Linked DNA regions of Ovis aries. The protein of the gene in region 1 interacts with the protein of each later gene in a biochemical or structural test. Links are inferred from orthologs where the notes say so. Each region holds a gene or a part of one and is shown on either strand. Other genes may lie near its edges.

The links.
Region 2: the proteins of CASP8 (region 1) and DEDD form a complex in vitro, tested with the Homo sapiens proteins (2 studies listed by BioGRID). The link is inferred for Ovis aries from reciprocal best matches to the Homo sapiens genes CASP8 and DEDD.
Region 3: of the proteins of CASP8 (region 1) and BCAP31, one has a biochemical effect on the other in vitro, tested with the Homo sapiens proteins (2 studies listed by BioGRID, with this or other methods). The link is inferred for Ovis aries from reciprocal best matches to the Homo sapiens genes CASP8 and BCAP31.

What each region holds. Positions count from the first base shown.
Region 1 is NC_056055.1:203,614,093-203,622,221, reverse strand, and holds the start of CASP8 (caspase-8), read right to left. Parts: upstream 5,156-8,129; 5' UTR 4,960-5,155; exon of another isoform or gene 3,599-4,959; intron 3,119-3,598; exon of another isoform or gene 3,075-3,118; intron 2,668-3,074; exon of another isoform or gene 2,574-2,667; intron 2,512-2,573; exon of another isoform or gene 2,449-2,511; intron 1-2,448. UniProt on the Homo sapiens protein: Thiol protease that plays a key role in programmed cell death by acting as a molecular switch for apoptosis, necroptosis and pyroptosis, and is required to prevent tissue damage during embryonic development and adulthood.
Region 2 is NC_056054.1:112,573,312-112,580,640, reverse strand, and holds the end of DEDD (death effector domain-containing protein), read left to right. Parts: intron 1-3,322; 5' UTR 3,323-3,386; coding exon 3,387-3,711; intron 3,712-3,911; coding exon 3,912-4,019; intron 4,020-4,313; coding exon 4,314-4,460; intron 4,461-5,198; coding exon 5,199-5,575; 3' UTR 5,576-6,778; downstream 6,779-7,329. Other genes in the region: NIT1 (deaminated glutathione amidase), read right to left, coding at 6,940-7,206. UniProt on the Homo sapiens protein: A scaffold protein that directs CASP3 to certain substrates and facilitates their ordered degradation during apoptosis. May also play a role in mediating CASP3 cleavage of KRT18. Regulates degradation of intermediate filaments during apoptosis.
Region 3 is NC_056080.1:80,542,038-80,550,103, reverse strand, and holds the start of BCAP31 (B-cell receptor-associated protein 31), read right to left. Parts: upstream 4,216-8,066; 5' UTR 4,001-4,215; exon of another isoform or gene 3,902-4,000; intron 3,701-3,901; exon of another isoform or gene 3,457-3,700; intron 3,352-3,456; 5' UTR 3,309-3,351; coding exon 3,217-3,308; intron 1,750-3,216; coding exon 1,649-1,749; intron 1-1,648. Other genes in the region: ABCD1 (ATP-binding cassette sub-family D member 1), read left to right, coding at 5,010-5,924. UniProt on the Homo sapiens protein: Functions as a chaperone protein. Is one of the most abundant endoplasmic reticulum (ER) proteins.

The DNA.
Region 1 (8,129 bases):
TAGCACTTTCTGACATACAAAAAAATTCCAATCCAAAGCCAGAATGACATGAGTTTGAATATAACATGATTGGCTCCTGTCCTCTATAACCAGGTCATTTCATTTTCTTTGTAATAGCTTGGCAGTGCTTTCTAAGTGATTTTTACATCACATTAAAATGGACACTTAGTAGGGAAAGTACTGGTGAGGCTTCTTTCCTGACCCAGGTTTTCCAAAACACATTGTGGTATAATATTGTCTTTGTTTAGGTCACCCATCTCTCTGCTCGTAGTACCTGGGAAGCACTATTACCTGCTCCAGATTTTATACCATTAACCACGGACCACCTCTAGATTAAGATCTGTAGGAAGAGGAACTAAAAGGCACTTTTTTTTTTTATGGGACCTGGCTTTATTGCATGAGCTCATAAGCCAGAAACTTTATTAGAGTAATATTTTAAAAAGAATAGTCATTGCTCTATTTTTCTCATCCTAAAGTAGTAAAAGTAACACTTTTTCCTTAGAGAACTTTTAAAAGAAAAATACCACTTGGAAAAATTTAGAAGTAATTTTGGGGTCACATTTGTGGGTTCTTTCCCAATTTTATTCACATATATGCATATATAATGTATGCATATACATATGTAGAATATATCAATTTGAATATATTGATTTATATTGCATGCAAGATAGAGGAGAGGGGTGGGAATGGAAAGGCCTTCAGAAGTTTTCTTTTACTTTCAATTATACAATATCTAAGCAATAAGCCCACATACATATATTTGTATTATATGATATGTAACTATATCTATTATTTTTATAATGTGTGCCCCAAAGTATTTTTATATAGCCAAATATTTGTATTATGATATGTAAATGTTTATAACATATAACGATATAAACATAAAAATATTTTTCTTGTCTCATTTACTGCAATCCTCTCTAGAAATTGCTATTATCGTCTTCACTTTATTACCATGAAAAATCAGTTCAGAAATAAACTAGTGAGAGGTATCAGGCCCAGATTAGAGCATCTCAAGAGGCTTAGTGACAGACCCTGCAAAGATTTAGATTTTATTCTAATTGCAGTTGGAAGCCAGTGAAGAAATTTAATAAAGACACATAATCAAAATATTTTTAAAGATTATGAATTACTTAAAATTTTAAAAGACTAAGTGAAGTGAAGTGAAAGTCACTCAGTCATGTCTAACTCTTTGTGAACCCATGGACTATACAGTCTTTAGAATTCTTAAAGAAACCCCCCAAAGAAACAACAAACAAAAATTCTTAACAAATCCACTAAAGCAGAGAGAAGATCAGAACCTTACAACCAAGCTGGTATGCGCTGGAGCCTGGATTTAAACCTCAGCACCTCATCCCAGAGTCCCGAATTAGCACTGCCTGTTACACCACAATTAAATTGCAAATAAATCTCATCTAATCACAAACAATCCTTCTAACAATATTCTAGCAGCATCTTAGCTCTCTCAGTCTAATGAAAAACTACCTCAAAGCTGGAGAAAATAAACCCAAAATTTGTATTCCTCTTCTGAGACAAAAATATGTGTCTCATTCACAGCTTAAGAGTACTGGAAAGTTAGTCTCAGGCCTGAAAGCCCTAGGTAATAGGATGGCCATTCCCTCCAGTCCAGGAGGATCACTCCGAATTGGGGTTCCCATTCCGAATCAGGATTCCCACTCCAAATTGGGATTCACCCAGAACCTGCCAGAGACCCACACAAGCACTGTTCACTGCAGGGCCCCAGCCAGCACTATCACACAGCCCAGAAAAGGTATCCACATTCCAGCCAAATTAAAAACCTACCAAACTGAACGAAGGTATAACTTCACCTGTAAATGCTTAATCTCACACTTCCAAACCAATGCTGGAATGAAATTCATAATTCCACCTATGAATGGTTAACTCCACAAATACTGATTATCAATCTATTGCCATTATATTACTCCCTGTACTGTTCTTTACCCTTTTAATCCCCCCACCCCCATCCCGCAAAGATAAATAAATAAACAATTGAGTGTTTAGCACTGTGTGTGTGTGTTTCTATGTGTGTCTGTTTAGGTGTGTGTGTGTTTATGTTGGTGGTCTGTGGGTCGACAGACGGGTAGCTACAGCAGCAAAGTCAGTTGAGATTTGAATTTTGGTTTCTATTCTTCGATAAGTCTGGCTGGCATAAGGGTGAGGCCTCTGTAAAGATGAATATATTTGGAGTATTCCCCCTCTAAAACTCAGGAATGCATCATCTACCAAAGCTGGAGGGGCACGGACATCTGGGATCTCTGAACCCTCACCACGGCCTTCAGAGGCACGGCTAACTCTCCCAGTTTCTTCATCTACACTCAAATACTAGGATTACCCTATGGGCCCTTGAACCTGCCAGATCCCATTCTCAGTAGCCTAGAGAGTTCTAGATTCAAAGGCCTTCCTCTCCAAAGTCCCATCAGATCTTACCAGAGGCGAATCCTGGAACCTTCACAGCAGCAGCCACTTCACGGGCCTCTTCTCTCAGTACATCTAAGACAGGAATTAGAGTCAAATGAAGAACCAACAACGTAGCTCGCTTACTTCCTGTTTTCAAAACTCCTGAGTCACCATAGGCTGAGTGAGGCAGGCCAGCCTCCAGGCAGCACCCGCATCCTCATCTCCAAGAAGGAGCCCGTGGAATAAGAGGTAGGTGCTGGATGGGGACGCTGGCCATCTGAGACTTGCCTCTGGCTATGTGACTTTGGGCAGGTCATTTTCTCTTCGGGGCTTCTGTACCACATTCCAAAAGGAAAAAGGAACTGAATGATAGCTAAGAACCCTTTCTTTTCCTTTTCAGAAATATACAGATTTTTATGGGTTCATTATTAAGACTTCAATGGTTTCCTTCAATAATACTCATTGAGCACTCCTGAGTGGTCTTGAGTTCTGGAACTATGGGCCCTCACTATGGTTCAGAGGGTCTACTGACCCCCACAGAAATTCTCATGGTTTCCCCCACCTACATTCATATACAAGATCTCACCCTCAGCAGTCTAGGTCTAGAAAACTCTAGAATCATATTGTTTCCTCCCAAAAGGCCCAGCCAAACTCACCAAAGGAAAAATAAAATCCCAGGGCCCTCACCATGGACTGGGACCTGGAGATAAAACAGAGAACAAAACTCACTTTAGCCCTGCCTTTTGGCTCTCATCAGTTGTTTTCTGATGATTAAAGTAGAGGAAAAAAAAAAAAAAAAACCTCTCTTCTTTGAAACTACATGTTCTCTTTCCCCAAATGGAGTATTAGCTTTCAGAGGGCAAATTTCACAGCCGAGAGGATTAACAAGATAGCTGAAAATGCCCCTCCACCTGCAGAGAGCTAGGTAAGGGTTCTGTGTTCCTTTTGTGCCCTTAACTTCCCTTGACTCTGCCCTGAGAACTCCGAGTGAGAAGGCAGCCACAGAATGAAAACCTGTTAGTGGCTAAATCCTATCCCAGGAAGTGCCCCCTTGCTCTTTTCTTGCAGCCTCCTAAATACATCCACCCAATATCTGTCCTGCTGTTTTATGGCTGGTTCCTATCCTAGGCTGTGATCTTCACAAAGGCAGGGACCACATCTTTCATGTCCATGTTTCCAGTTTGTGCCACAGGAGTAGAAATACCTCGAATATACAAAGGTCTCCTGCAGATCAACAAGGAAAAGAAACCCTGACGAAAGACAATGGATCTGACTATAGAGTTCCTTGACAGAGATACTCAGATGGCCAAAGTGTGCGAATGATACTCAAATTCATGACTAAGCTGGGGAATACAACGCAGGTATGAGCTACCTACTTTGTACCTATCAGAATGGCAAAGGTTTGCAAGCTGGAGCCAGCCAAGTTCTTGGTGGGCCAGTTCTTCTATAGCCCTTATATAAGTTGTAGAGACTGTCCGTCATGGAATAATAAGCAGCGGTTACAAAGTGGGAGCAGGCAAAACACATAGAACTTAAAGTACAGAGTGCTTACTTGCAAAAAATAAAAAATAAAAAGTCAAAAACAGAACAAGCAAATTACAATATGAATACTAATACATAACATGTAATAATAATTGCTAACACTTACTGGGTACAGAGCAACACCAGTCACTAAGTGGCTAAAGCTGTTATTATCAAATAAATCCTCACAGCTACCTGTTGAGGGAGTGTTAATCCCACTAATGATGAGGAAACAGAGGTACAGAGAAATTATTTTCTTGCTCTGGTCACAGAGTTTAAGACACAGTGTACACACACAAAACAATGGTACATTTCACAAAGATACAGAACAATTAAGGATATGTATCATAAGATGCGGAGGGTTGTCTTTGGGAGCCGGCTTCTCGGGTGGCTCAGTGGAAAAGAATCCAAGTGCCAATGCAGGAAAAGCAGTTTCGATCCCTGGATTGCAAAGATCCCCGGGAGACAGGAGTGGCAACCCATTCCAATATGTTTGCCTGGAAAATCCCATGGGCAGAGAAGCCTGGCGGGTACAGATTCTAGGGTTGCAAAGAGTCAGACATGACTGAGCGACTAGCAAACACACACACTTTGGGAGCCAGCGAGGAGGATAGGAGATAGGTTGGGGAGTGGGGAGATCCAAGAAAATGGATAAAGCAGGGCAGGGTCGGGGGGCCCATGGGTCCCCAAGACCAAGGGTTTATAGGGAATCGGGATCTGATTGAGTGATCAACTCAACCCTCTGCCCCAGGACAAGTGGTATAGAAAATAAACATAAAAAGGTAAATAAAGTCTTCTGGGAAATCTAAAGTAAACCAGCAGGAGACAGTGTACCTATACTCGAGGCAGCAGAGGAACTGGCGCGTCCTCAGATTAAAAAGTAGCAAAGCCAGGGGCTGTGGTTCAGATAGGAACCCACTCAGAACCTGGCACTCTGGCAGGACTGGGAGGTGACTTCCCCGGGAAGTCCTCGAGTGAGAAAGGCGGCATCCAGAAGCCAACTGGGCACCAGGCACTCACCTGCTCCACACAGTCCTGGCAACATCCCAGCCACCAAACTCTCGACGACAAGACCCCACACTGCCTAACTTCACACTTCGTATTACTGAGGCTCGTTCTTAAAACCCAGCTGGAGATAAATCCCTGGAAATGAGGCAAGCGGGAGGGGGAGACAGGAGGTGGGGTTGGAAACGCCTCCAGGAAGAAGTTTACTTTTACTTTCGATGCCTCCACCAGGCTTTTATGCCTGCCCCTGGAAGACTCACTTCCTGGTTCTCTCCTCTCTACGTTCAGAATTTGCTACCAAATTCCGCAGGGCTTTAAAAAATCTTGAGATAAAAGAAAGAGAACCTGTGAAACCATTGCCTTCCAGCAGAAGGGCAAACTCTGGTCTTCAGGAAGAGAGAAAGAAAATTCCTGAAGAGAGAGAACTAGAAAATAAACTTGATTTGGAAAGCTGGAAAACTGAGGTGACTCACTTGAACAGAAAATGTTTCTTATTTAAAGGAACCGAAGCCCAATTTCCCTACATTCAGAAGTGACCACAGACATGCAACTAAACTGCATGTCAACATGCAAACTAAAAACCAGGAAGCTGGACGTGTTTTATTGGAAAGCATTTTACTCACTGCATTTAGTGTTTATCAGCTCTCTAATTTTTAAAGAGACTTGAGACTGCCTGTGGCCAGTAAAATGTCATTCTCGCTTGAAAGGGGTCTGCAGAGAAAAATGCTTCCTCTGTTCTGTGGCCTGAATCTTAGCACTGCAGCCGTGGACAAGCTCCCCAGATCATCTGGCAAGAACTCTTCCTGGGTCCAAACAGATCTCTAGCTGAGTTGTGAGGAAATTCAGCACCAAAAGGGGGTGAGGTCCTGCCCAGCCCTAAGCAGGGGTAACCATCCTTGTCCAGTGCTGAGCCCCTGGTGGGGAGGGGAGTGTTGGGGGGAGGGGACAGTGATGTGAAGACCTCTCCTCTGGGAGTCTGAACCTCCCCAGCTTTTCTTCATCCTCCACCCTCTCCCCACCCTCTGCCTCTGTTAACTGTTTGAATTTTTTAAAGAGTTTTCTGCCTTTTTGTTTTCACATCTTCTAGATTTTAAAACTACGACACCAATAATAATGCAATATCTGTACGTTGCACCTTTACATCAATTATTTCTCATTCTCCCAACAATGTAGAGGATCCCGCATGTCATGGAGGAGGAAGCGGAGGCTCAAATGAATATATGAATTCGAACTCAGTCCAGCTGGATCCAAAACAAGGATTTTTCCACCATAACACACTATTCCCTCCCCCAAAAGTTAGGATTTGAAATGAACCATGTGGATGGAAGAGTGCTAAATTTAAACTCACATGATGACCTATGTGCAGAGGTCAGAAGGTCACCTAAGAAAAAGGAGGCGGCCTACAGGCACCAGCTAACAGCATAAAAATTCTGTGTGTGCCACATGTATAACCACCCAAACTGGTTCATTTCACTTTCTGAGTAATTCGCAGAAGTGGATGCTATTTTTGCTCTCATTTGAGCAAGGAAGCTGAGGTTTGGAGAGGTGAAAGACTTAGACAAATATCTTCAGCTAGTGAGTGGCAGGATGAAGTTTTTGTGCCTCTCTAAAACCCTGAAAGGTTAATCAGTGTCTGAACATTAGTACACACCCATGGCTCTCAACTTGATTGATCTGAGGGTTAACTGATTAGGTTTCTAAATTGCCAGTCTTCAGGCCCCAGCTCTGAAATTGCTATCTGAGCAGAATTACAGGAGATAAAACAGATTGAGCACTTAACGGAATGCCTGGACCTCCCACAGTTCTTGGTAAGTAATCAGTACCACTGTTACATAAGCTCACATCTGTACAATGGCTATGAATTACTAGACATATAGTGCAGTTGAGGAAGCTAAGTTCAGTGTCGATCAACTGACAAACTGCATGGCCAGCACATGATCCCAAGATTGTCGCACTTGAGCGTTTACCCCCGTCCCCCAATCCCTGGCTTGGAGGAAATGGATGAGCCACCACAGGCATCTACGGAGCAGTACTGAAGATGAGTGGGGAGGTTCAGGGCTTCAGCCTGTCATTTGCAAGGCACTGATCCTGTGCTCTCTTAGTCTTAAATCTGTTTTTAAAAGGAAAACCTATAAGGACTTCCCTTGCAGTCCCGTGGATAAGACTTCCTGCTTCGAATGTAGGAGGCACAGCTTTGATCCATGTCAGAGAACTTAAGATCCCACATACCTTGGAACATGGTCAGAAAAACTAAAATAAAATATTTTCTTTAATGAATAAAAGAGGACAAATAATTAACAAGTAAATTGTAACCCTCAAGTTGGTTAAATTCCTTTTGTGATTTACTTGCTCTAACCAGGTTCTTAAAACTCAACATTCAGAAAATTAAGATCATGGCATCTGGTCCCATCACTTCATGGCAAATAGATGGGGAAAGAGTGAGAGACTTTATTTGGGGGGGCTCCAAAATCACTGCAGATGGTGACTGCAGCTGTGAAATTAAAAGACGCTTACTCCTTGGAAGAAAAGCTATGACCAATCTAGATAGCATATTCCAAACCAGAGACATTACTTTGCCAACAAACGTCTGTCTAGTCAGAGCTAAGGCTTTTCCAGTGGTCATGTATGGATGTGAGAGATGGACTATAAAGAAAGCTGAGCGCAGAAGAATTGATGCTTTTGAACTGTGGTGTTGGAGAAGACTCTTGAGAGTCCCTTGGACTGCAAGGAGATCCAATCAGTCCATCCTAAAGGAAATCAGTCCTGAATATTCATTGGAAGGACCGATGCTGAAGCTGAAACTCCAATACTCTGGCCACTTAATGTGAAGAACAGACTCATCGGAAAAGACCCTGATGCTGAGAAAGATTGAAGGTGGGAGAAGGGGACAACAGAGGATGAGATGGTTGGATGGCACCATCGACTCCATGGACATGAGTTTGAGTAAGCTCCAAGAGTTGGTGATGGACAGGGAAGCCTGGTGTGCTGTAGTCCATGGGGTCACAAAGAGTTGGACATGGCTGAGTGACTGAGAGACTGAGCTGAATTCAACCAGTTTTCTTGTTTCCACCTTGAGCTATGTGTCTGCGTGATTTTAACATCAAAATGAACAGTGTACTTGGTTGTTATTCCTGAGGAAGCTGGAAAGGCTGGATGTGTTGCAGTTCAGCATGACATGGCGGAGC
Region 2 (7,329 bases), on another chromosome or scaffold:
CTTCATTTTCCAGTGACCAGGTATGTGGGGACAGTACTTCCTAATTTCCTGGGGTTTATAGTCAAGACACTTTGAATTAGGGAACTTTGGAGCAACCTACTCTTCTGATTGGTTGAATGTGAAACCTGCCCATCTGTTTTTTTTCTGGGATCCACATAATGGACAGCTGGCCAAGGGGAACAGGTGGGATAGGAACAAGGCGAAGTTGTAGGGGCTCTAAGGAGGCTGTTTTCTCATGTGGCTGTTATGAGCAAGAAGTTGTTTTCCTTCAGTCCCCTCTATTTGTAGCCAGTGACTGTAGCAGGTGAAACGAGAGGAAGAGACGAAGAAAACCAGTCAGTAGTTGAGTAGCTATAATCCCAGTTGTTTCCCATGCTTTGGGTGGGATATCTGGCTCTCATAACTAGATACGGGCTATGTTTCCTGTCCACATTCTGAACCCATGTTATGGGGCTAGGTAATTCCAGGTTGGACCTCCTGTTTTCTTAAGGGTATGAGTCTCTGTGTTCGTTTCAGGATTAAAAGAGAAGATCAGGTCCTATTTGCTCTTCAGTTTTTTGAGTCCCCAGTTGCTTGACTCTTCTGAAGTAGTTTATCATTTGATTCTTCCTTTTAACATAGCCTCAGTTTCTTGCAGTATAAAATGGACAGAACAGCCTGTATTGTTGTTGAGTAGGTTGCTATGGTAGGGGTAGTTTTACAGTATGGGGAACACTAGAGAATATGCATGTTACCTGAGCTGCATGTACTCTTAATGGGGTCCTCTCACTCTTGGACTTATGTGAGTTTATTCTTAATTGGTATTGCTTGTGGTGGTCTCTTGAAGGTTCAGTTCAGTTCAACAGCAGGTTGCTCCTAGTATATGCCAACCCCCGTCTGTTGCTCGGTACTATAGATATAAAGATGAATATGACCTAGTCCCTCTATTGAGTTGCTTAAGATATGATAGGTGTACAGGTAATTTTAGTACTCTCTGATAAATGGTTTAAGGGAAATATATGTACAGTGTTCCATAAGAGCACAGAAGAGGACTACTTAAACCTAAGAAGGGGTGTGGAGAATGAATTTGAAGATAGCATCTGGACTGATTTTTTTTTTTTTTTACTATTTATTTATTAGTATTTTTTTAGTATTTATTTCACTTTTGGCTGCATGGGGTCTTAGCTGAGGCACACAGGATCCTCTGTTGCGGCACATGGGCTTACTTGCCCTGTGGCATGTGGGATCTTGGTTCTCCACCAGGGATTGAACCTGTGTCCCCAGCTTTGGAAGGCAGATTCTTAACCATGGGACCACCAGGGAAGTCCCTGAACTGATTCTTAAAGGATGAGTAGGAGTTAGCCATCTGAAAAAAGGTGTAATGGGGCATATGGAAAAGAAGGGAGGGGCCATTCGGGCAAAGAGAATAGTCTAAAGATAGTTATAGAGAAGTGAATTGTGTGATGTTTGTGAACTGTAGACAAATGATTAATGTTAGAGAAATAAAAAGTGACAAAGGCCTGATCTTGGATGGTTTGGTGTGTTGGGTAAGGAATCTGGAGTGTTCTTATTGGTAAGGAGAGGATTGTGCATGCGAATTCACTTCAGTCATGTCTGACTCTTTGTAACCCTGTGGACTGTAGCCCACCAGGCTCCTCTGTCCATGGGATTCTCCAGGCAAGAATACTGGAGTGGGTTGCTGTGCCCTCCTCCAGGGGATCTTCCTGATCCAGAGAGCAAACCCACGTCTCTTATGTCTCCTGCATTGGCAGGTGGGTTCTTTACCACTAGCACTGCCTGGGAAACTCAAGGAGAGAATTGTGGAGAGGTGTTAAGATGAAAAGTGATGTGGTCAGTTGTGCATTTTAGATAATTCAGCTGGATGTAGGGGATGGGTTTAGACAGGTTAAGATTGGTTGTAAGGAGAGCCTTGAAGAGGCTTCTGCAGTAATCCAGGTGAGAGATTATTGGGACCTGAGCCAGCGTGGTGGTAGTAGGGGGTGGAAAGGTGAGGCAAATTTAAGAAATAGAAAGTAGTATCAACAGGAATTTATACTTGTTTGGGTGATTGGAGGTTGTGGTCAGAGGGTGTAGTAGTATTGGGTGGTACTTGGTAGCATAGTAAGTATGAGTGGCTGGAGAGGAGATGAAAGCTGTTTGATTTGAGGATTGGTTATTAGCTGGGTCACTGACATTACCCACAATGATGGAGGAAATTTGTGAATCAAATGCCAAAACACATAATAAACGTAGGACTGTGCTTGGTCATTGATAGAGGATTGGTAAACGACAACCGTGAGGAAAGGTTAGAAAGCGGCATAGATCCAAATGGTGTGTGACCATCAGAGAGCACAGGTGGCGCAGGAGAACTCCTAGAATGCTCAGTGTAGGAGCTTAGTGACGTTTGTCGATTTAAATCCATGAGTTTCAGTGGATATTTGAGTAACTTTCTCAGCAGTGATTCTCCTGGACTTGGTTTGTTGGAGGAGAAATGAGGATAGGTCTGTGGAGGAATGAGTCTGGGCTGTAGAGGCCAAGGATGCTTGTCTCTTTGAAATCTCCTAACCAGTTAGAAAAGTCTTACGGTGATTTCATGTGCATTTTCTCACTGGATTCTTAATAACTCCGAGGAGTAGTTTTTTTCCTCCTTGTTTTGAAGATGGGGACACTGAGGCTTTCAAGTTAAGTGACTTACTTAAGGTCACGTAGCTACAGTTTGTTGACAATATGGGCAGAATTAAAACTAGTTCAGACTTTGTTTCCCTGCTGTCAGCCCCTAAGTTTATCTGAAAAAGCTTCTGTGTTAGAATTTAGAGTGAATTTTCTACTTCTCTTCACTTTGCTTTCATTTAAGGGATGAATTGATTGGGGACGTTGTCAGGTTGAGCACACAGGACCAAAAGCAGTATTTTGGAGGCCAGAGGAAAAATCAGGACAATGTCTGCTGAATATGTAGCACTAAACTTGCAAATTAGTGAGTCTTCCTTAGCGGATGTGACTATCTTTCTCTAGTAAGATCTGGACTTAGGGCAGCATCTGCTGAATATAGAGAGCTCTATGCTTTATTTTTTAATAAATATTTTATAGGCACTTCCCTCGCAGTCCAGTGGTTAAGGGTCCATGCTTCCAATGCAAGGGATGCGGGTTCGATCCCTGATCAAGGGAAGTAAGATCCCATGTGCTGCACAGTGAGCCAAAAAAATCAACAACTTTGTAAAAGTTAATAAATGCTTATTAAGCGCTACACAGCGCCAGGCATTGTGTTAGGCTCTGAGAATATAGGATCGGCTAAGACTAGTTCCTAACATTGAGTGGTTCACAGGTTCTTTCCTTGTCCTTACAGTATAGTGGGGATTGCAGCTGCTGAGCAGGGATTCTGGAAAGCAGTGTGTACCTGAGCCCCCAGCATGGCGGGCCTAAAGCGGAGGGCAAGCCAGGTGTGGCCCGAAGAGCACGGTGAGCAGGAGCACGGGCTGTACAGCCTGCACCGCATGTTTGACATCGTGGGCACTCACCTGACACACAGAGACGTGCGCGTTCTTTCCTTTCTCTTTGTTGACGTCATTGATGACCACGAGCGTGGCCTCATCCGAAATGGACGTGACTTCCTACTGGCGCTGGAGCGCCAGGGCCGCTGTGATGAGAGTAACTTCCGCCAGGTGCTGCAGCTGCTGCGCATCATCACTCGCCATGACCTGCTGCCCTACGTCACTCTCAAGCGGAGACGGGCTGGTGAGGGTGCACTTGGGGCTGGGACCCTGGGGTCAGGGGAGAGCTGTGGGCAGCCCTGAGTCAGCAGCACAGGCATCCAGGCAGAAGCAGGCACTGACTCTGGCAAGTCCTGAGAAGAACCTTTTGAGGTGCATTGGAGGATTGGACCAGGAGAAGGGAAGGGTGTATCTTTTCCTGAGTGAGTCCCTCTCCCCCTACAGTGTGCCCTGATCTTGTAGACAAATACCTGGAGGAGACATCAGTTCGCTATGTGACACCCAGAGCCCTCAGCGACCCAGAACCGAGGCCTCCCCACCCCCCTAAAACAGGTGAGATGTTAACTCTCCCTAATTTCCATAATCGAGAAAGAGGACGCTGGACCCATCTTTTGCCAGCCTAAATGAAAGGACACTGTCCCTCCCGTATCTGCCCCTCCTTCCCAATCAGATGAGGTGTTAATGCTTCATCTAGGTCCTATAATGGTCCCCATATTGTGTCTACCTTTCAAGTCCCATTATTGATATTGCTGTAGTGCTGAGTCTGAATGATTCCTCCACATTCCAAGTGAATTGCCTCCATTTCTGCTTTTCCCCTGCTGTGCCTCCCTTTTTCCCTCTGGTCAGTGCCTCCCCACTATCCTGTGGTGTGCTGCCCTACTTCGGGCCCTCAGATGTGTAGCAAGCGGCCAGCTCGAGGGAGAGCCACACTTGGGAGCCAGCGGAAACGCCGGAAGTCAGTGACACCAGATCCCAAGGAAAAGCAGACATGCGGTGAGGAAGTTCAGGGGTTCTAGAGGTGGAGTACACTGGAGGGGAAATAGAACTGCTGGAATACTGGGCATGTTGAGTTGCTTTAGTCGCGTCTGACTCCTTGCAAGCTCCTCTGTCCATGGGATTCTCCAGGCAAGAATACTGGAGTGGGTTGCCATTTCCTTCTCCAGGGGATCTTCCCAATCCCTGTCTCTTAGTGTCTCCTGCAGTGGCAGGTGGGTTCTTTCCCCCCAGCGCCACCTGGGAAGCCTCAGAACATGGGCAGCTTACGCTATTTAGAGCGAGGCTCACTTTGATTGCTGTTGCACAGTGAGGTTGAATGTTACAGTCTCTGGGTGGAGAACTCTGTCTTTGTGGCAGAGTAACTCTTTGTGGCAACTCTAAGTAATAACTAGATGAAAGGGATGCTGTTATGACATCCTTATTGTAGTATGACTCAAGTCATGATAGAATATTAAAGTGAACTTCTGTTAATTAGGAAAATATCTCTTAGAATCAAGGTGCTAGTTGGGAGTGATGGAAATTATCTGACCTGGGCATGTCCCATTTAAGGGAACCTCTTGAATTGAGGCAAGGATTTCAGAGCTTCATAGAAAAGAGCGAGTCCTGGGAAGAGGTAGAGAAGCTGTCAGGTGCTGTTCCCAGCTGTGTTCCTCTGCCATCCTTCTCAACTTTTCAGAACCTGGGCGTAAGCTCAGCTCTCACGCAGTCTCTCCTGTGCGTCGTCTTTCCCCACAGACATCAGGCTGCGGGTCCGGGCTGAGTACTGCCAGCACGAGAGCGCTCTGCAGGGCAACGTCTTCTCCAACAAGCAGGACCCACTCGAGCGCCAGTTTGAGCGCTTTAACCAGGCCAACACCATCCTCAAGTCCCGGGACCTGGGCTCCATCATCTGTGACATCAAGTTCTCTGAGCTCACCTACCTCGATGCATTCTGGCGCGACTACATCAACGGCTCGTTACTAGAGGCACTTAAAGGTGTCTTTATCACAGACTCCCTCAAGCAGGCTGTGGGCCATGAAGCCATCAAGCTGCTGGTGAACGTGGACGAGGAGGACTATGAGCTGGGCCGACAGAAACTCCTGAGGAACTTGATGCTGCAAGCATTGCCCTGACCTTTTCCCCTTCTCACTTCTCTGGGGACTTCTCACCACCCACCTCTGGAGCTTACATACTGTTCTGGGGTTTGTTCTCTACCCTTCCAACCGATCACACCCCTGCCTTTTTTTTTTTAAAGGAAAAGACAAAAATGGAAGTGGTGTCCCCCACCCCTCCCTGCACCCATGTGCCTGGCTTCCCTTTGTTCCCCTTTTCCACTTACCCCCACATGTGTGTCTCTACAGTCACCTTGCCACTGAGCCGTAAGACAAATGTGTAGGGAGAAGCAAAGTCTATAGGTTATAGTCTTTGTAAGGGATTGAAGTGATCACTGCTTTTGGGTGCATTGAGGGGTTATCAGTACTTCTGGCTTTATGAGGGCTCTTAAACTTTGTCTGAAAAACCAAAGGGCTGTCAGTAGGGAGCTGTGTGGAAGGTGGGACTCTGAACTGTATTTTGGAAATTAATCACCACCCTCTCCCAAATTATAGAATTTTTAAAAAAGAAGCTGTGGCCCTTTCCACTCTCTCCTGGCCTCTGGTGCTGCTCCTCTCTGCCTTGTTTCCTCCATTCCATGGCTTGAAACCTCTGCCTGGTGTGGCTCCTTCCTTTTCCCTCTCTGTCAAACCCTCTTCAAAGGAATAATAGGTAAGAGGACTAGGTCAGCCTAGTCAGTCCCAACTGTGGTGTGTCTGTACCCACACACACACACAGGGTGGATGGAGAAGCGGTTGCTGGTTAAAATACACTCCCCCTGGAAAGGGGAAGGGGGAGTGTGACACTTTCTTTCCATGTTCAAGTGAAAATAAATAATGTACCCTGCAGCCCTTTCCCCTTTTGCTTTCTTCTGGCTTGGGCAAAGGCCATCATAGGTGAGAATGAAGTGATGCGGTAGCAATGCCTTTCTTCTTTTTCTTTCCCCATCCTCTACCCTCCCACTCCCAAGCTTGGGAGCATGGGGCTGGGACATGCACTGAGTGTTGCACTTTTCTTTAGGTAGGGAGGCATGTTGAATAAGCCAGGAGGCCTAGAACTGGAGCCTAGTCCAGCTGGTACAATACCACCTCCCCTTTCAGTTCCCAAAAGAGATATTCAGACACAGACTTTATGATGATTATATATATATTTTTCAATGCCAGTGCTGCTCAGCCCTCAGCATAACTTCAGTTTTCATGAAATAAACAGTGACTATATTAAATTCCACCTTTCTGAAACTGAAATCTGAGCTCAGGTGAAAGTTTCTTCTTTTCCAAGAAGCTGAGCCTGTGTTCCATTAAGAGACAAGGTTCTCCAAGTGAGGGGAGCTGCGCCTGGGTCCTGCCTGCAAGTCACAACGCCACCAGCTCACGATGGAGGTCTCAGTGGACAGAAATCAAAAGTCTTAAGACAGTGGGTGACCCAGATTGCCATAGAGGTCAGGCCTGCGGTGCTGGAACACAGGCAGTTGTTTGCGTAACTGCTGCAGATAGTTGAGGTCAATTCGGGCAAGGCAAAGGCCTGGTCCTTCGGAGCAGCGGGCCACCACTGTTCCCCAGGGATCTACCACCATGCTATGTCCATAACTTGCTCTCTTCTCATGGTGGCGTCCACACTGTGCTGCCGCCACTACGTAGCACTGGGTTTCAATGGCACGGGCCCGCAACAACACCTAGGGATGGAGGAGATGGCTGTTCACTCAAGTACATGTAGCAGCTGGTAGGGAAGTGATAGCCATGGACATTACAGCCCAATCTACCCATTGTGACCATCCTGATAATTGCCTGTGAATGAT
Region 3 (8,066 bases), on another chromosome or scaffold:
GATTCCTGGGTTGCAAAGATCCTCTGGAGGAGGAAATGGCAACCCACTCCAGTATTCTTGCCTGGAAAATCCCATGGACAGAGGAGCCTGGCACACTACAGTCCACAGGGTCGCAAAGAGTCAAACCGAACTGAGTGACTCAGCATACACACATGTGGGTTCCTGACCCCCAAAATTCCCATTTGGGCACCTTAACTCTCAACCAGATGATACTAGGAAGTAGGGCCTTTGGAAGATGAGCACAAAGCCCTCATGAGTGGGTTTAGTGCCGTTATAAAATAGACTCCAGAGGGCTCCCTTGTCCCTTCCTCCATGTGAGGACACGGCCAACACAGAAAATGACTGTGGAAACATAACACAGACTGTTAAAATAGTTACCTGTGAGACATGGGTTTATGGGAACCTTTAACTTTGTAAGTTAAATTCACAAATTTCTAAAGCTGTGCTATTTTTGTGATTTAAACAAAAAACATGTTTTCCCACACTGTCTTCTGCAGCCAGAGACCCCAGCACCTCAAGGTCCACCTTGACTAATGGCAAAGAGCCAACCAGGGATCGGGGCATTGGGCCAAACTAGCTCAAGTCATACAGCAGAGGGCTACCCTCTCTATCTCAGGCCTCCAGCCCACGGCAGTTGACCCTGAACTCTCATTAAGCCCACTCCCCCAGTGAGATGTGCCCTAGATCCCTTCCCAGGGATGGCTAGGGGCCAGCCAGGGCTGCAGCTTCTAGCTAGTTATGCTATGTCGCTAGCATTTGCTACTAGCTAACAACTTACTCTGACTCATTGGAAAAGACACTGATGCTGGGAGGGACTGGGGGCAGGAGGAGAAGGGGATGACAGAGGATGAGATGGCTGGATGGCATCACCGACTCAATGGACATGAGTTTGAGTAAACTCCGGGAGTTGGTGATGGACAGGGAGGCCTGGTGTGCTGCGATTCATGTCGCAAAGAGTCGGACACGACTGAGTGACTGAACTGAACAACTTATTTAGGCAGACCTCTACAGATTACATTAGGATACGAAGCAGCCTTTTATCATAGCAGGATGTCGCTCTAGAACATCCAGGCAGTTCCCTGACTCCTCAAAAAGAAAAACGGCACTTTTGCCAACTACCACCTTCTGCAAAGGGCCTCTCCCACCCAATCTGCCATACCAGGAGAATTCGTGGAATCTGGTGTGCAGAAGGGCAAAGCTCTAAGTGAACACCCCCCAGCATGGTCCCTCCCCACCCCAACTCTTACCCCCAGCCCACACCTAAAAGCAAAAGCACACACACCCAGTTCATAAACCCTGCAGCCTACTGAGACCAAGGTCAGGACAGGTCCATTAGCCTCTCTTGGTTTCAGCTCTGGAAGGACCCAAGGAGCTGCCTGAGACACAAGATGGTCAGCACCAGGGGCATAAAGGCTGCTGGTCAAAGCAAAGACCCTGCCAGCAGTCAGTAGCAGGGATGCTGACGTCTTTGTGGATGAAGGGAGCTTTTCTTCCCCCAAGAGAAAGACAGGCGCACTAAATGGTCTGTCTCTGAGAAGTCAAAGCTGTACTCTAATCATGGAACATGGCACATGGCACAGGGCTTTGTAGCAGAGGCCATGGCAAAAGGTCTAAGTCAGATAGCTACCATCAGCCACAACTCACTCACCAATGACCAGTAGCACAAGGATGACAATGAGAACCACAAAGAAGGTGTTGCCATATGTCACTACCAACTCCACAAGGCGGGACTTGAAAATCTTCTGCCATCTGTGAAAAAGACAAAAAGGCTAAGGTCAGTAGAGTAAGAACACACACCTGGGATCCAGGGCCCTGAAAACAGATACAGTTTTGCACTCTTCTTCAAAGACTGAATATCTCATACAGATTCAGCCTCAGCTGCTTGCAATTTTCCAACTTATGACATCTGTTCAACAGTGTTAAAAAGAAAAAAAAAAAGACACCTGTCCAAGTATAGAAATTTCTAGAAAAAGTCTTAAACACTGGTAGGCTCTGGGGAGAGAAATGCGAAACTTAGCGTCCCCTCTGTAGTATCAAAATGCTTGCCAAATCCACATTATTTCTTTAAACTGTTTTCCCATGTGCCCAATCTTGGCTCATCTAGACTCCCACCACCCCCGATTACCATGAAGCAGACCCCAGACCTCCCTACCTTTCCCTCCATAAATACTTCAGCATACAGCTCCGTCAAAGAAGACCCTTCAGAAATGGCTACCAATCGCAATGCCACCGTCAAGCCTCAAAAATATCAAGAAAAATCTCTCATCATCAGAGCCAGAACTCCAAAGTCCAACTGAGGCAATTATTTTTAACAATTGGTCTGTTTGAATCCTGACAAGGTTCTGATTTTGCATTCTGTTAATAAGTACCTTCAGTTCAGTCGCTCAGTCGTGTCCGACTCTTTGCGACCCCATGAATCACAGCACACCAGGCCTTATTCTACGAACTCCCCCCTCCCTTGCTCTCTGATTTCTCCCCTAATTCACTGTTGCAGAAACCAGGCTGTTTGTCCTGCAAAGCTTTCCATGTAGCAGCTCCAAGTGGGCCACTGTCTCTGCATTTCCTGTGAACTGTATGAGGTGATTCAGATCTAGCTTTTGTAAAGAACATTCCTTAAGCAGTGCTGTACACTTTCTATCACAACAGCAGCCTGTGATTTTTCATTAAAAAGAAGCTTCTATGAAAACATCTGTAAGTCTTATTTGTAATGTTCTAACTTAAGATCAGATGTGTTCCTATAGTATATGTAATCAAGATGAATTTCAAAATAACTTTTCAGAAGTCCTCTGTTCACTGAAAAGAAACATGGCTTCGGCCTTCCTAGGCTGAGTAATGCTCATGAGGCCACTTCGCAACCCCAGCGAGACTGGTTAGGAGGACAGAAGTCACCAAATCAACGGTAACATGACCCAGAGGCAAGTCTTGCAGATCTCACAATGCCATCTCCTAAACACCCGGAGGGCATCGTTTCCAGAATGGTCACTTGGTCTTGTCCCCTCTGGCACACTCTGAAGACCAGAAGACAGGGTGCAGGGGAAAGGACCTAGTCAAGATGTGACTGAGCACAACTGTGGGCCTAGCTGGCGATAATAAACACAGTCCTTGCCACCCCCATCCCAGACAGGTTCTACCTGTTTCCGGCTGGCTTCAACTCTAAGGCCCCCCAACTCTGCAGGCACAAGCTACCGAGACTCTTCCTGGCTTGCCTGCCCATACCTTTTGGGAGAAATGAAGGGAATGCAGAGCAGCAGCACAGCGAAGACCTCTGCATAGAGGAAGGTGGCGACTGCGGTCCACTGCAGACTCATCGTGTTGCTAGCAGCTTTCCACCGGGATGATGTGAGCCTGTTCCTGATGGAGCACAGAACAAACAGGCGTCGTGACAGCTCGGCAGCCACCAGCCCTAGACCTCAGAGCATTCCCAGCCCTCGAGCCCCGCAGCCTGGCTGCCAATACCTCCAGAGACACTTTTCCAAACAATTCCTCCCCGTGGAGTCCGGGAGACTCCGCCTGCGGAACCCTGGCAGCAGTGGGTGGGAATCGGCAGTTCAAGCTACCGCCCACCACACCGCAGCCTCGGTCCTAGTAATGCCTTTGCGCTTCCTCCCAACCTGCGATGCCTCTGGGCCCTTCCACCCGGGCCGACAGAGGAGTAGCGAGCAGCTCCTCCCAGGGCAGGAGCGGAACGCAAAAGCCTCCCAACCACCGCCCCTTCGGCTCAGCTTTCAGTATCTCCGAGAGCCCCCGAGAGCGACTCCTAGAGGACGAGAGTTGGAGCCAAGGGCAAGAGCGGGTCTCAACCCAGCACCTCACGGCCCCGTCCAGAGAAAGTTCTAGAAGACTGTCTCCTCCAAAGCCGGAGAAACCCCTCCCGGCCTCCCAGGTCGGTCGCGGCGCCTACCCGGCTCCAGAAGACCCCTCGACGAGGCCCCGACCCGGCACGCCCTCTCAAGCCCCACCCCGCCGGCTCCTCCGGAGGGACTTCGACGTCGCCCCCTACCCTGGAGATGGCTCCACCCGCCGCCAGCCTGACTTCCCTCCGCCCGGTCCCGCCCCCGCACTCTAGCCTCGGCCCTGGCCCCGCGCACCGGGCCTCCCCGCGCCCCCTCGTCGAGGAGCCGGGGGACCTCGGCGGCCCGGAAGCCCAGCGCGGCGCGCGAGTCCGCTCACCGAGTTCTCCAGAGTCACCACGCACGCCCAGTCGTCGCCAAACTCTCCCACCACCAGCCCGGCCCCGCCCCTTCCCCGCGGCCGGAACCGGAAGCGCCCGGCCAGTCCCGGCCCGCCCCCAACCGCCACAAGGCCCCGGAGGCCCCGCCCCCGAACCGAGGCTCCCGACGTCTGGGACTGGGGAAGGAGCCACGCCTCGCGCGCGCGCGCGGAGAGACGGGTCCCCGGCCTTGGCGGGAAGGCGAGGTGCCGCTTCTCTAGCCCGCGCGGTCCTCCGGCGTCTCTGTGGTCCGGGGAGGGGGCGGGGCCCCACCGTGGGGCGAGAACGGGGTGGGGCGGCCCGTGCCTGGGCTCCGCCTCCCGCCCCTCCTCCGCCTCCTCCCCCTCCCCCGACTCGCCCCTGGGGAGGGGTGGGTGGGTAGGTGGGGATTCTGGGCGGGTGGCGGAGTCACAGTCGCTTCAGCCGGGCTGTGGAGCGGACGGACGCGGCCGGTATCCCAGGGAGGGGCGCTACCAGGGGAGGAGGAGTAGGAGGTGGAGAGAAAAAGACGCCCTCGGCCGGAGACCTCTAGAGGCTCTGACCCCAAGGGCCAAGGGACTGACAAGTTCCTCCACTTCGGCCGCCTGAAGAGGCCGTGACCCTGGAGGGCCCTGAGCCCACCCGCGCCAGGGGCCCCAGCGCCACCCGGGTGGCCTAAAGCGACAGTCTCAGGGACCACTGCGAGGTCTCCAGTTGCCTAGACAACGAGCCCGGGGTCAGAGCCACCACCCTTGCAGCCACCTGCCTCCTCTGCCGCCTCAGGCACCCGTCCCGGTCCCGTGAGTCCAGCCCAGGTGACATGACGGTGCTCTCTACCCCCAGAGCCTCGCGGGTGACCACGCTGAAGCGTACTGCCGTGGTCCTGGCCCTCATGGCCTATGGAGCCCACAAACTCTACCCTCTGGTGCGCCAGTGCCTGGCTCCGGCCAGGGGCCCTCAAGCGCCGGCGGTGGATGGGGAGCCCGCACCAGACGTCTCCGGTGCCCCCGTGGCCTCAGCGGCCAAGGCCGGTGTCAACCAGGTGTTCTTGCAGCGGCTCCTATGGCTCCTGCGGCTGCTATTCCCCAGGATCCTGTGCCGGGAGACGGGGCTGCTGGCGCTGCACTCGGCCGCCCTGGTGAGCCGGACTTTCCTGTCGGTGTACGTAGCCCGCCTGGACGGCCGGCTGGCCCGCTGCATCGTGCGCAAGGACCCTCAGGCCTTCAGCTGGCAGCTCGTGCAGTGGCTGCTCATCGCACTGCCTGCCACCTTCATCAACAGTGCCATCCGCTACCTGGAGGGCCAGTTGGCCCTGGCATTCCGCAGCCGGCTGGTGGCCCATGCCTACAGTCTCTACTTCTCCCAGCAGACCTACTACCGGGTCAGCAACATGGACGGGCGGCTTCGCAACCCAGACCAGTCCCTGACGGAGGACGTGGTGGCCTTCGCTGCCTCCGTGGCCCACCTCTACTCCAACCTGACCAAGCCGCTCCTGGACGTGGCTGTGACCACCTACACCCTGGTTCGAGCAGCCCGCTCCCGCGGGGCTGGCACAGCCTGGCCCTCGGCCATCGCTGGCCTCGTGGTCTTCCTCACGGCCAATGTGCTGCGAGCCTTCTCGCCCAAGTTCGGGGAGCTGGTGGCTGAGGAGGCGCGGCGCAAGGGAGAGCTGCGCTACATGCACTCCCGAGTGGTGGCCAACTCAGAGGAGATTGCCTTCTACGGGGGCCATGAGGTGGGGCTGCTCCTGGGGCCGGAAAGCGCGTGGCTGGGGGAGTCCGGGGCAGGAAGGCCTGGGGCTGCCTATGGCTGATGGCACAGGTGTGGGCTGGCCATGGGAGAGGGAGGCTGTGGACGACCAGGGCCGTGGGCAGCCCGGATCGGCACAGAAATGGAGAAGCAGGAAGGCTGGGTGGAGACTGTCCTGGGTCACTTCTGCTTCCTCTCCACCTCCCTTGTCCTGGCCTTAGGGCTGTGGACCCTAGTGATGGGAGACCCAAGAGCTCCCAGCCTGCCCCCTGCCTGCAGCCAACAGAGAAGGGGCTCCTGCCATCTGGGGGCAGGGATGACAGGATGCAGCCTGCTGTCTGGCCCCCTCCTATTCCCCCAGGCCCTTTGAAGCCCGGCGTCCGGCCGGGCAAGTGGGCATTATGGGCATGACTCAGCCCAAGCGGAGGTTAACAAGCAGCAGTGCTCGGTGTGTCGATCGGATCTCAGCGCTCCAGATCAAGCTTCTCCCCCCTCCGGAGCCCAAAGGCTGGCCTGGCTGCGGGCTTGGCTGCCTCCCCGAGGCCCCAGCCAGGGGTGCCGGGGCCCAAGCCGCCACTGCAGCAGGACGCACTTCCTGCCCTCCCAGCGGCCACCTTGCCCCCAGTGTGGCCGCCCTTCCGCCCAGGTCCCAGCCGTGCAGCTCCCCAGCAGGCTGGGTCAGCGGCCAGCCGGCTAGGGCCAGGAGCCGGGGCCTGGGAGAGGTTACTCCAGGCCAGTGCTCCGGCCCCTCCCCTCCTCCTGCCTGGGTTGCAGCTGCCTCCGGCTAGGTTCTCTGCGACTCTGGTTTCGGTTCCCCAGTGCTTCTGGGGGAGGGGTACAATGGCATCCAGCTCCTGAAGGCCCATGGATCCTCCCTAGGTCAGATGGCCTTGTGTCCTCGACCTTGTCTCATTGGCAGCCCATCTTATCAGGCAGGGAGGCAGGCTTGTCCCTGATTTTTTTTTTTTTTTAAGACTTATCCCTGAGCAGATAGGGGCATTCCCGGCTGGGCTCCAGATAAGGAGAAAAAGGGCCGGATCTGCAGCCGCAACCCCCGTCCTCCTCCCCTGTGCTCCAGGGACGCAGGGTCTTGGCAGGCAGCCGTGGCCCTGGGTGAGGCACTTGGCACATTCCCCGCAGCTACATTGTCAGCCCCAGCTGGCACTCTTGCCAGCTCCCAGCACGAGCCTGGATCGCCAGGGCGCTCAGAGTAGACGTGCTCACTTCAGGAACGGCAGAGCGATGCCCAAGACCTAGCTGGGGACAGGGGAGGTGGGAAGAAGGGAGAATCACTAGCTCTTTGAAGGATTTCCTCTGGGTTAGTTTCAGGAAATAGCATGTACTTGGGGCAGATTCACCAGCTGGGGTGGGAGGGGCCTGATGTACGTCCCCAACCTGTCTGTCAAGGCCTCGGGCAAAGGGCTGTGTGATGTGATGGGCCTTCATGGGTGGCTTGATTGCCCTCACTGTGCGGGCACGTGGCTCAGCCCAGTCCCATTGGCTGATGTCCCCATGGACACTGGCCCAGGCTCAGATCAGCAGGCTGGGGCAGAGGTAGCTGGCTGACTGGAGGGCAGACCGCCGAGTATTTTGCTATTCCTGGGATGTCAAGGAGAAGGGTTATTGCTGCTGCTGCTGCTGCTAAGTCACTTCAGTTGTATTCGACTCTGTGCGATCCCATAGATGGCAGCCTACCAGGCTCCTCTGTCCCTGGGATTCTCCAGGCAAGAATACTGGAGTGGGTTGCCATTTCCTTCTCCAGTGCATGAAAGTGAAAAGTGAAATGAAGTTACTCAGTCGTGTCCAACTCTTGGCGACCCCATGGACTGTAGGTAGGCTCCTCAATCCATGGGATTTTCCAGGCAGGCATACTGGAGTGGGTTGCCATTTCCTTCTCCACAGAAGGGTTATTACACGGGCTCATACCAACACATCCAACCTCTTATTAGCCTGAGCACGGGTAGACTTTCTTAATAAGTCAAAGCATCGTTCACAAGAATTGGCTTTGTTTAATGGCTCAGCCTACCTGGTCCAAATGCCATATGTCTTGCCACCTCCAGGCTGTGTGAACTGGAGCAGGTCACTTTGCCTGTCTGGGCTACCACAGACAGGAGAATACACATACAAT